Oryzias latipes: one gene and its partner. The protein of the gene in region 1 interacts with the protein of each later gene in a pairwise test. Links are inferred from orthologs where the notes say so. Each region holds a gene or a part of one and is shown on either strand. Other genes may lie near its edges.

Evidence for each region.
Region 2: the proteins of araf (region 1) and ras-related protein R-Ras interact in a two-hybrid assay, tested with the Homo sapiens proteins (2 studies listed by BioGRID). The link is inferred for Oryzias latipes from reciprocal best matches to the Homo sapiens genes ARAF and RRAS.

The regions. Positions count from the first base shown.
Region 1 is NC_019867.2:28,416,520-28,422,444, reverse strand, and holds part of araf (serine/threonine-protein kinase A-Raf), read right to left. Parts: coding exon 5,825-5,925; intron 5,747-5,824; coding exon 5,722-5,746; intron 5,639-5,721; coding exon 5,508-5,638; intron 4,958-5,507; coding exon 4,758-4,957; intron 4,655-4,757; coding exon 4,478-4,654; intron 4,374-4,477; coding exon 4,327-4,373; intron 4,169-4,326; coding exon 4,050-4,168; intron 3,902-4,049; coding exon 3,770-3,901; intron 3,537-3,769; coding exon 3,402-3,536; intron 1-3,401. UniProt on the Homo sapiens protein: Involved in the transduction of mitogenic signals from the cell membrane to the nucleus. May also regulate the TOR signaling cascade. Phosphorylates PFKFB2.
Region 2 is NC_019866.2:25,002,560-25,008,484, forward strand, and holds part of ras-related protein R-Ras, read left to right. Parts: intron 1-4,244; coding exon 4,245-4,353; intron 4,354-4,532; coding exon 4,533-4,651; intron 4,652-5,925. UniProt on the Homo sapiens protein: GTP-binding protein with GTPase activity, likely involved in the regulation of MAPK signaling pathway and thereby controlling multiple cellular processes. Regulates the organization of the actin cytoskeleton.

The sequences.
Region 1 (5,925 bases):
GATAGATAGAATGATAGAAAGAATGATATAATAGAACAACAGAATAATAGATAAAACAATAGAAAAATAAAACAGAATAGACAAAACAATAAAACTATACAGAATAGATAGAAAGATCAAATAGAATGATAGATTAAAACAATAGAAAGAACAACACAATTAACAAAAAATAGAACAAAATATATAACACTTGATAGTATGATACCAAACAATAGAATGAACAAAATAGATTAATGGAACAGAGCGATAGAATAGACTGAATGATAGAAAAACGGATAGAATGATGTATAGATGAACAATAAAAAAAACAAAATGATAGAATAACAGAATGATAGTAAGAATGACAGAAGAGACAGAAAAACAAATTGATAGACCAATAAAAAGAATGATAGTCGGAATGATCAATAGAGCAATTGACAGAACGATAGATCGACAGATTTGATTGATACTTTTTTGATTGTCACATGCACAACAAAATTTAAAGTGCTCGTAGGTTGGTCCGTCTATCATAATAACAAAAATTTACCACTAGTTAATTACCTAATTGTCTAACTATTTGATTAAATAATCACTTGCACTTTTGTTATACACCAATAGCTGATCAAACAAAACAAAAAAGGCTGTAATCTGCATGGTAAGGTGAAAGGCTACCACGCAGGAATCCAGGGTTTAATTCCCGGAGGAGAATGAGCAATGGTACGGGGGAAATTACCATATCAACGGTGAACAATTAACATCACCCAGTGAGGGCCCTTGGGTAAGACCCTTAACGCTACCGCCTCCCGAGCGCCGTTCAGCTGCAGCTCACCGCTCCCCCAGAGGATGGGTAAAATGCGGAGAAGAATTTCCCCAGTATGGGATAAATAAAGTATCTATTATTATTCATTATGGTGTTACCATACTTCAAAGACAGGTCACTCACTTCCAAGCAGGAATGTTGTGTTAGCTGACACACTCTCTCAGAACTTAACTGCTGCTTTATTCTGCTTTTATTGTGTTTATTTTAGGATCTGAAATGCCGTTACATCAGTGCGTTGGATTTTAGGAACACCTAGTGTAAAACTGAAGATCTACATGAATCCAAAAAGTTACAGAAGTTTCAAGGGTTCAACAGCACCACCTGCTGGTGTGAACCTTGAAAAGACTGCCAGAGCCAGTTATACGAGTCACAAAACGTGACAGATTTTTTTCTTGTCTTATTTAAAAAGAAAACAAAAAAGGCTCAAACAAATTTAACCCATGAAGTATTAAGTGTCATTCTCTAGCAGAAAGCTCGTCTTGACCGAAAGCCAGGGGTGGACTTACCATTAGGCAAAGATAGGTGATTGCCCTTCAGCTAAACTTCTGTCTCTTTCAGCTTTTCCCATCAAGGGGAGCCTCAGCGAAACAACCTCTCTTTCGAGGAAGAGTCGCATGGTTAGCTTGGCAATGTTTTACGCCGGATGCCCTTCCTGACGCAACCCTCTCAATTTATCCAGGCTTGGGACCGGCACAGAAGCAGAGAAGGGAATAGGGAGCAGCCCGGATTCGAACCCTGGTGTCACGGACGGAAGGTGCCGCAAACCAGCACGAGCTAAACTGGCTCCCGATTGCCCTTCGGCTAAACACTGAATAAAAAAATGTCTAAAATAATTTCCACACCCTTTAATATTCAACTCTGTCGTAAAAAAAACTCAAATCACTGATGTGGCATAAGCCTGCTCGTGTAAAAGTGTTGTCTCCTCCCCGTCTCTCTGCAGGAATGGACTATTCCATCAACAGCAAGTTGAGGAGCAGAAAGAGACTCTTTGAAGGAGATTTACAAAAAAAGTAGTAAGATGAAGTGTAGTTTAGGGAAGAAGGAAAGAAGAAATTTGTTGCCACACTTCCAAAAGTGCAGGAAGACAAAACAGGAAAAGAACAAATTCAAAGGAATTCAAAAAAGAAGAAAAGCCATAGTGTGCGTGTCATAGACATGATCCGTTTTGTTTATGTGCTCATCACCGTATCACTATTTTATTCTTCCTACTGACTTTATCCGCCAACATTACAGAGTAAAACGTTGGAAGTAGTTCTATTGACTGGTTTGTACTGTTTATTTTTGTCTGTGGTGATGCAGAAAACGAGTTACAGCCGGAATTTGCCTTAATGCGAAGCTGCAGAGGGAAGGCAGGAACGTCAATCAAGTACAGGAAAACACCCCAGACAAACAATAGCAGTTTCTCAGTAACTCACCATAAATCACCTCAAAATCATCACAACAACTCATTACAGTTTATTGTTCAAACAAACTCCACAGAAATCCGTTTATATCATTCCTCTCTCTCCGAGTGAACCAGCGTGTTTGAGTAATGCAAGTTTTAGATGCGTCCTGATCTCCTCGCTTTAGGACTACAACTGTTGTAGTTTTACAAAAAACAAAGCAAATTCTAAATTAATTATAGCAAAAATCAGAATAAGATTATGACGCAATTGACAAAGTCACCCAAAGACGTTGCAGCTTTGTAACAGATATTGTTGTCAGGATTGACTCATGAACAATATCAATAAAACTGCTCATACTAGTCAATGTTTAATACTTCCCCAACGTTTTACTCTGTAATGTTTGTGGATAAAGTCAGTAGAAAGAGCAAACCAGGCGGGTGATTTCCTGACAAACACATGAAATGGAACATGTCTACGACACGGACATATTGTGGCTTTTCTACTTCTAATTGCAGCTCATCTTCTGGTTTCATGAACACGTGAGGTTAGAGCCCAGCGTGTTTGGCCCTTTCATGACGCTCACCAGCCCGGCCTCTGTCATGCTGATGTCATGCTGATGTCGAAGGACTTGAAGCAAAGTCTGCATTTTGCACGTTTCTGGTGCCAAATGTGTTTCAGGGTCTTTCTGTGGCCACAGCTGACACCTCTCCTTGAAAAGCCACTCATTGGTAAAGTTACAATTGCCGGCATTTTGTAGCATTTCACAACAGAAAGCTGAAAGCGCCACACACTGAACCGACGACAACAAACTGCTTTACGGCAACGTAAACTCCCATCACCAATAGAGTGAGGTTGAACTTTGGCTGCAATTTAAATTCAACTCATGTTAAACTATTTTATTTATGTTTTTTGGATCCAAAATATCAAAGTTTCATGACTTCCTAAACTTTACAGAAGATTTCATTTTTCTGTTCCAGGTTTTTCACGACAGATGTCTATCAAAACAGTCGGATTTCTGGCATTGAAGCCATTTAAAAGTTAGACCAGTGAAGAAGTTATTCGCCGGACGTTTAGCTACTTTATCATTTTTTAACAATGATTCATCCAACGGCTGCAGAGGGCCCCACGTTATGGTTCGTCCGGGACCCTTAAACTGCTAAGTTCAATAGACGTGCAGCTGAGTGTGTTTCTCCTCCAGCCACCAGTGCAGCTCTCACCTGAGGAAACAGAGGCCTCTCATCTCTCTTGAACTTCAAGCAGTCGACGATGAGCCTTTTCATGGACTTGGGTGATGTGCTGTAGAGCTTACTGAGGTCAGGAGACAAGTACCCACGTCCCACCATGAAGATGATCTGGGAAGGTGGACGGAGAAAACGTCTCAGAGAGGAAACACCATGTAGGAGCGCGAGAATGTACGCATAACCGCAAAAAAAAAAATACAGCGTTTTTATGACAATAGGTTTGGCCTAAAGGTGTGAATCTGTTCACAGAAAGGATTTAATGATAACCTCAGTAGCAAACAGTGTTTTAATCGATCGCGTGTGCCTGAAGAGCTGACAGCAGGCAGGAATGTGCAGGTTCCCACCTGGTCTCTGTTGTTTATGTTGGAGTAAGGCAGCGTTCCCGACATGAGCTCAAACAGCACCACGCCGTACGCATACACATCCGACTGGAACGTGTACGGGTTGTTGTCCTGCATTCGGATCACTTCAGGAGCCTGACAGGAACACAAGCCGTAAACAGAGGCGTTAGGCGGAACATCAGCAGACATTGTGAAGGCAATGAACCAGGACACAGAACCAAAGGTAGGATGGGTCCTGCTAAAATCCGCTGTTCATGCCTTCATGGCCGTGAAACAAGCTCACCATCCACAGAATGGATCCACTGGGCTGCTCCACCTGCTGAGAGCCGCTCCATCGAGCCTTCACCGTGGCCAAACCAAAGTCTCCTATTTTTACGGTCCAGCCCTCGTGGAGAAAAATGTCTGCAGCGGAGCTCAGGAAAAGCTTCAACAGAGCAAACGTTCGTGAGAACACAGCCGACTGGCAGCTGCTTTTCAACTCTGCTCCAGTTCCTGAGTGTTTCACATAAAAGCCCTCCATACACCCAAATGTAAAGACCCAATGAACCAGAAAGGGATACTGTTTGACTTCAGGTCTCGGTGAATGATGTTCTTGGCGTGGAGATAACTGCAGTGGGACACAAAAGGACAGAAAGTCAAAAATCTGGAACAGAAATGCATGTGCAGCTCAGACAGCTCGACCCAGCGTGTTCACGTGACAGTGGTTCTTACTCCATGCCCTGCGCCGTCTGTCGGGCCACGTCAATGCGCCTCATGGTGTCAAACTTGGTTTCCGACACGTGGAGGTGGCGGTAGAGGCTGCTGCCCTCACACCACTGCGTGATGATGGCGAAGTTGGGCTTGGTCATGTATCCCATGAACAGCAGGATGTTGACATGGCGAGTTTTCCTGCGGGGGAGAGACACGGTCAGAGGTAAAAACAACGCTCATTGTGAGGACAACGTTGATTTTCCTTCATCTGTTGTGGTGAAGGAGTGTCGGAGCTGCTCACCGTAGAACCTGCATTTCATTTTTGAAGGCCTGCAGCTGCTCAGGTGTCGGCTCCTTCACTTTCAGGATCTTGATGGCCACGTCGCCGTGCCACTTTCCCTTGTAGACTGTCCCGAAGGAGCCGGTGCCTATCCTCTTCTGGATCTGGACTTCTCGAGAGTGGACCTCCCAGTAGTAACTGGAGTCCCTGTTGCCTCGATGCTGCAGCATCACAAAGTTACTGTATTTTTCGGTGTATAAGTAGCGTTTTTAAGCTACATAGTTAGACGGATGGTGCCACTTCGAAGTGATTTAAAAATAAATAATAGCAGCAACAACCACTAGAGGACACGGTAAGTGTGTGCATCAGTATTATACCGGGTTTGGCAGAATTGTTCCAAAGTGACAAAGAGGATGAAGAATTCAACAGATTAAGTGATTTGATTAACTTGTTAGCATGTTCTATTTGATTGTCTGAATAATTGTTCAAATGTTGTGCTAATAGACTAGAGTCCTCCTGTGTTTCATGAATAAGGTTATGCTAGTAAAGCATGCTTATATTCACAATTATTGTCATCTCTTGTGTTATTTTAATTTGCCTTTCAAGATGAAATGTCTGCTCTTGTTCCCATATTTTGTTAAAATATTGTTATTTCTCCCACAAGTGCGACTTCTATGTGATTTTTTCTTCTTTATTATGCATTTTTTGCTGCTTTAGTGCAAAGTAAGTAAGCGACTGTACAACATCCTTAAGAAGCTGAAGACCACCTACCACCTTTTTCTTGTCATCAGACGAGGAAGGTTTGCGCTCTTTGTGTTCGGAGGGGGATTTCGGAGGCTTTTTCCCAGGAGAACCAAGAAAAGAGGGCGGACTGGTGGAGGGTTTGGGTGAGGGTTCGGGACCTACAAAAAACAAGAGCCAGATCACCTCAAGTAAGAACGTAGTTAAGGGAATGAAATCCCAGGGATCTATGGAGGAGTTTTACCTATTGTGTTGAACTTCAGTGCTTCCTAAAACAGGAGAGACAGTTACCATCCACATTCAGTAACCACATCAAATGAACTCAGAACATCGGCGGTCAGCCTGACCTCAATGATGCTGACACTGGCGAGGTCCACCGTGCTGACCATGTGGACGTTGGGGGTGGATGTGGAGCGGTGCCTCTGCAGAGACTGACCTTCTCCTCCTG
Region 2 (5,925 bases), on another chromosome or scaffold:
CCGTTTGCATGGATCCATCATAAACTACTGGTTAACCAAACAAGATGAAACGTTAATGACAGTCATAGAACATCGGATGGGCGGAGACTTGTCCTCCTTCATGAACGGAACCGGAGCAGCTGTTTATTTCTCTACAGAAGCCAGGGGGTACTTCCTGTTACCCTTCCGGTTTGGATCGCTGGGAAGGAGGGGGTCACTCAGTCAAGATCTAGGCGACTAGTTGTCCTCCCGGAGAGATTTGGGGGTGGGGGCGTGTTGAGCCGGTTTGTTAGGGAGGTAAATGACCATAGGTGTGGTGAAGCCATGTCTCTGGTGGAGGAGAGTCAGTCTGAACACTGATCAGCTTTCAGTGTGAGGGGGTGGAGCCATTGACCATTGACCTTCACTGTGGTATGGGGGGGGGCTAACTTCTTCCTGAAGTTAGTCTTCAGTTGAGCGGTTGGACGTTGGCTGCCGTCAGACAGACAAACACAAAGGTTAGCGTTTATCTCCAGACGGTCCTAAGGCGGTTCAGGAAGTCCCATTCTAACTCTGAGAGGAGCTGCAAACACTGAAAGGGTCAGAGGTTCGGCTGTGTCCACAGCTGTTTAGACCAGCTGGACTTTGTCTCAGAACTTTGACCAATTCTACCCTCATGATGCCGTGTTCTCCCTCTACTGCAGCTCTAGTTGGCAGGAATCAGCTGTGTTTATTCTTTCATTTAACCAGATCACCAGTTTTTCTGCAGACAGTTTTTACAACCTGTGAGCCGTTATCTGAGGTCAGTTCTTCATCCTTGCCTTTAGGTGGAATTATTTCAGTGAGAACATGTCTACCGGACCCAAACGACATGCTTTGTCCTTTCTAGAGATGAATTCTATGATCACATGCTGAAAGGCTTTTTGCGGTCAGTCAGCCTGTAAAACCAGGGATCATCAATGGTCACCATTAGGACCCATCCACCTACGGCACCACAGCTGGCAAATGGTCGGTAGCTCTGTAAGATTGATTTATCGTGATCTGCAGGAAGTTTCTTTAGGTCACCAACATTATGAAGAATTCTAAAGGCTAAGCGGGAAGTCTGTGAAGATGGCGACGGATGAACCATCAGTCAGTTTGTGGTCTTCAGTGAGGGGCTCCAGCTCTAAAATGAGAAGGGAGGGGCCGAGAGAGTTTAGGGAAAGGCGTGTCGGCACAGGGTCAGGGGGTTACAAACGGCCCACGCTGGCTTTGATAAGGATCTGTCATCATAGTGAAAATACATCTAATGTAGAGGACAGCCCACAAGCTTTAACGAGAACATGGAGGGGCCAAAACTGTCTGTGCGTTTGAAGGCAATTGAGTTGCTGTTTACACTGGTGTGGTGGGCGTGTCACTCGGTTAGATGGTTCACCTGTTCACTCGGGTGGAATGAACACCAGTCGGCGCAGGTGAGCCTGGGATGTACACCATGTTGACCTCTTTTGACGCTTCAGGCATCGCTTTCTCATGACCTTTCTCATGACCCTTTACATAACCACAAATGCTAATAGTAACGACTGAACAAAACAGCTACGCTTAAGTAAATCATTTTCTAAACACACAGACATCTGCACGCGTCATCAACGGCGACTCGCAGCAGAACCTTTAAATGGAGCAGACATGTAGCGGCTACACAACATAAAGTCCAACAAGTGCAAGAACATGACAGCAGTTGAAAAGACTCTGTTGTGTTTGTGGTTTCAAAGCGAGTTCAGACCGACGAGTTTCGAGTGAGGATGTGAAAAGAGCGGGAGATGGTTCATCTCTGGGGTGTGAGGGAAGTGAGTCCCTGAGCGAATAGAGGAAGAGGATCTAATGAGGCTGAATGAAGCCAGTTCAGGTCAGTAGGATCTGAAAGGCCCAGAGTGAAAGCAAAAGCTCTTTATCTGTTTGGTTTACAAGCATCACAGTGACACAAATGCAAATTGGAAGAGAGATCAGAGGTCAAAGACAACCAAAGAATGTAAATCGGAGACGAGCTTAGTGACCCGAATGTCTCTTTCATACCGAGACCCAGTGGCTTCTGCGAGGAGGAGGTCCTCAGCCAGATCCACGGAGCTCAGGCTCTTCAGGTTCTCACCAGAGGAAAAACGGGCTGTGAGTGGGACCCTGGCTCAGCCTGATCCAGATGATTCCAGTAAAGGTGAAGGGGAAAAGGGAGGATTTGAAACGGAGACAAAGAAATCAACCACTGAGCTGTGGAGAGATGCCAGTCAAGATGGTCACCAACACGTCAAAGACCACCAACATGTGGCCTTGGGGGCCTTATATCTGAAGGAACAGCTGGTAGATTGGAATGAAACGCCATCCGTTTGGTTGATCTTTTTCAGATGGGAGTCTGACCTGAAGACTGGAAGAGTCTGCCTTTAAGAGGCAGACATTGAAAGGAGGTGAAGGATCTGTTGTGAAAGGGAACCGTGGATGCAGGTCTGACTGAGACTTTAGCAGCGGGACATCACTTGGGCGGGGTGAACAGTTCTCCTTTTTAGACCGGGACCCAGCTGTAGGTCTGTCTGGACCAGCAGGCAGGTCCTGAATAATGACATCTGTCACACTGTTGGTTCTTTTGACCGTTTGAGGCAGAAAGGCCTGATGACGCGTTTCCGTTACAGGTTGTGTGTAAACGTGTGTGTTTCTGGTTCAGATCCTCAAACATTAGGTCACTGGAATGATGATCCGGAGCTGACAAACCTTTAAAATGCTTTTCATCATGAAAGTGTGAACAGAAAATAAACCCCCCCACTCCAATGAAAGTCATGTTTTTAGCATGTTCTTGTTTTACATACATAAAAGATTACACAGCATTTCTGAGGAATTCTTTATTCAAAACAGGATGAATCAGGAGCTGATTTAAAAATAAAAAGCCGTTTTGTGACACAGCATGTGCAAGGGGCGGGGCCAAAGTCCCATTTCTGATGAACTCCTGCCACGCGGCACAAACTATGTCCCAGAAAATGACAGGTCCTAATCATCGTTAACATATCACCAAAAACAGATGATCAGAGTGGGACCTGAAGGACTGGATATGAAATGGGCGATAACTCGTCACAGCGAAAGAAAAGAGGAAGTTCCTCATTCCTCCTTCTGCAGTGTGATGGTTCTCATAGAAAGGCTGTATAACAGCTGCCCTTTTGCCCTTCCTGTTAACGTGAACTGCTTCCTGGAGTCTCTGCTGCTGCCTCATCACATGCCTGAGCAGAAAACACCTGTCAGATCTGGCTGTCCTCTTCCAGCCAGGCTGTCAGGCTGTCTGATGGGAAAGATGGGGACGGGGGTCATGGGGTCATGCAATAACAAAAGCATGAGGTCGTCTGCATGGACATGGTGTTCCTCAGGGTAGAAACACTCTGACGGTGAAAGGAGGCTGGTCTTGATCATCGACTGTAAGGGAACTGGACTGAACGAGTGTGACATCATCCATAGAAAATGGCTTACACAAGTCAGTACGGACGCCGCCGTGTTGGAGTCAGATGACATCACTGAGCAGTGATTGGTCAGAGTAGGGCTGAGTCATCATTTCTATGGCAACCACGCTGGCCAATCCTAAGTGAGCTCATTGTAAGGCCACATCCCTACCACTTGAAATCGGGCTCGTCCAGCATTTTGAACGTTGGACGTGGGGGACAGCAGGCTCCACCTACTTTTACTGAGTCATCTGATTGGTCCGATTGTAACTTGAACTAAAAAATAAATCATTCAAAAGGAGGATCATCAAGAAGGTACCAGATCCAGAACGGTTCTTCTGACCAATAGACCGACTGACTCACAGCTGTTTGTTTCGCTATAGACGTCTGTGGGATTTTGACTTCTTGGAGACACTTCCTGTTTGGAACGCCGGGGGGGGGGTCAGAATGACTCCTAAAATGATGCCATCCATTATAAAACCGGATGGTTTCTGTGCCGGCATCATCCTGTTAGGAACTACCAGCAGCTGATACTGATGACCAACTCTGGGCTTTTGAAGTATTACAGAAACTACTGATCAGATATTGATTAATATGGTCAATCAACCAAAACCTTTGATCATTTCTAATTTAGTAGAAGCTAATTTGGATGCATTTAAGTGTGCTGGGACAGTCATTTCTAAAGTTTCCATCAGGGAATCATGACATGGATACAGCCGTGAAAAGGAAACCCAGCTTCTCCTGTGATCCCAGAGTGGATTTTCCAGCTCATCGCTGAGTATCATGGCTATCTGCATCTGTAGAATTTGAAGCCACATTTACACGCTGTTCTTTCCACAGTTATCATGAGGTCCAGAAGTTTCACACCCAGATCCTGAGAGTGAAGGACCGAGACGACTTCCCCATGCTCCTGGTGGGAAACAAGGCCGACCTGGAGCAGCAACGAGTGGTAAGGGAGTTTCTGTCTGCCCCTCTGGAGACACGTAGAATCCAGACACCCCCACTCCAGAGCCAAAGTCCAGTCAGAAAAGAGCCTCTTCTAGAAATGACTGATGGCCAGACCTCTGTTGTGTGGCACACAGAAACGAGCGATGAACACCAGAACATGCTGATCTTGTTTGTGTGCAGATCTCCAGTGAGGACGCCCAGGCCTTTGCCAGAGAGAACAGGATCCACTATATGGAGGCTTCAGCCAAGAACCGCTACAACGTGGACGAAGTCTTCCTGAAGCTGGTGCACATCATCAGGTGGAGCCGCACTCTCATGAACTGAGGTCTTTCTTATTGCTTTGGTTCAGTTTGTTCATAAAGAGCCAGTTGATTAACACAAGGCCAGAAAAATCACACCAAGTGGTGTGATTGCAGACGGTATGATCCAGTTTAGTCCAGATGATTCCAATCCTGAGATTACCAGACGATCTACGGATTACATGGAAGCATTTAGGGTGGAAGCAAAGGACGGCAGTAGAGAGGAACACTCCCCCCACCGCGATGTTGGAAAGGAGGAAGAATCCAACTTACATCTGAGTCACTGATGTCAAAGAAAACGTAGGTGAAGACCCCTTGAGGAGACTGCGTGGGGGGCGGAGTTTCAGGGAAACTGGGACTGTACGGCCCGGATTCAGACCAGACCCTCATTTGACGCCCCGCAGCATCATTTCAGAGTCATGGAGACATTCCTGGATCTTTCTGGCTGCCTTCCAGAAGCTTCCATGGAATGTGAAGTCAAGCAAAAATCTGGAAAAAATCCAATGTCAACACTTTGCATGGAAAATACCAAATGATCGGAATTATTTAGAGATCTGAATGAACACGAGGAGGCAGCATTTGTCTGATCCCAGTCCCAGTTTTAGACGGGATTCAGCCCGGACACGTTTGGTTCGCTTAGAGTGAGCCAGAGTTTGTTTCCCCCGATAATCTGGAACAAATGTCCACCCAAGTGGACCAGGAACCGCTCTCTGACCCATCTCTGGAGGTGGTCTGGGTTAGTTTCCTATCGGACGGAGGTTCGCTTCGCTCTGAGATTCCTCAGTCTGAATACAATCCGTCCTCGGAGCGGAACAACCGGACCGAACGGCCACCGTAGTCGACGTGAACGGAGCAGGAATGAAGGAACAGACGAATCCAAAGCAACGATGGCCGTTCTATCAAACAGAAAAAAAGAGTCCAACTGTTTCTTAGAACGTTTGTTTCAACGCCGCTGAAAACGCTTCTAACACACTTTCTGTGTGTCGTTACGCGTCCAACAGGCTGCTGTGACGTCATCCTAAAGGTTACCTTGTAGTTCCTGAACAGAATTCTCTAAAAACAAAGACGTGACACCACAACCATGAGACACAGCAACTCAGTGAAATGTGGGCGGATGAATTCAGGCTCACTAAAACCTCTGTTAACGTGATCCACATCACGTCTCACTCTCAGCGTTCCTAATTAGCCGCCGTCTCCTCAGTAACCGCCGTGCAGCACGCCTCCACCAGACCAAAGCAGCAGGGAAAAGTGTTGGGCCGGGCAGGCTGGTCAGC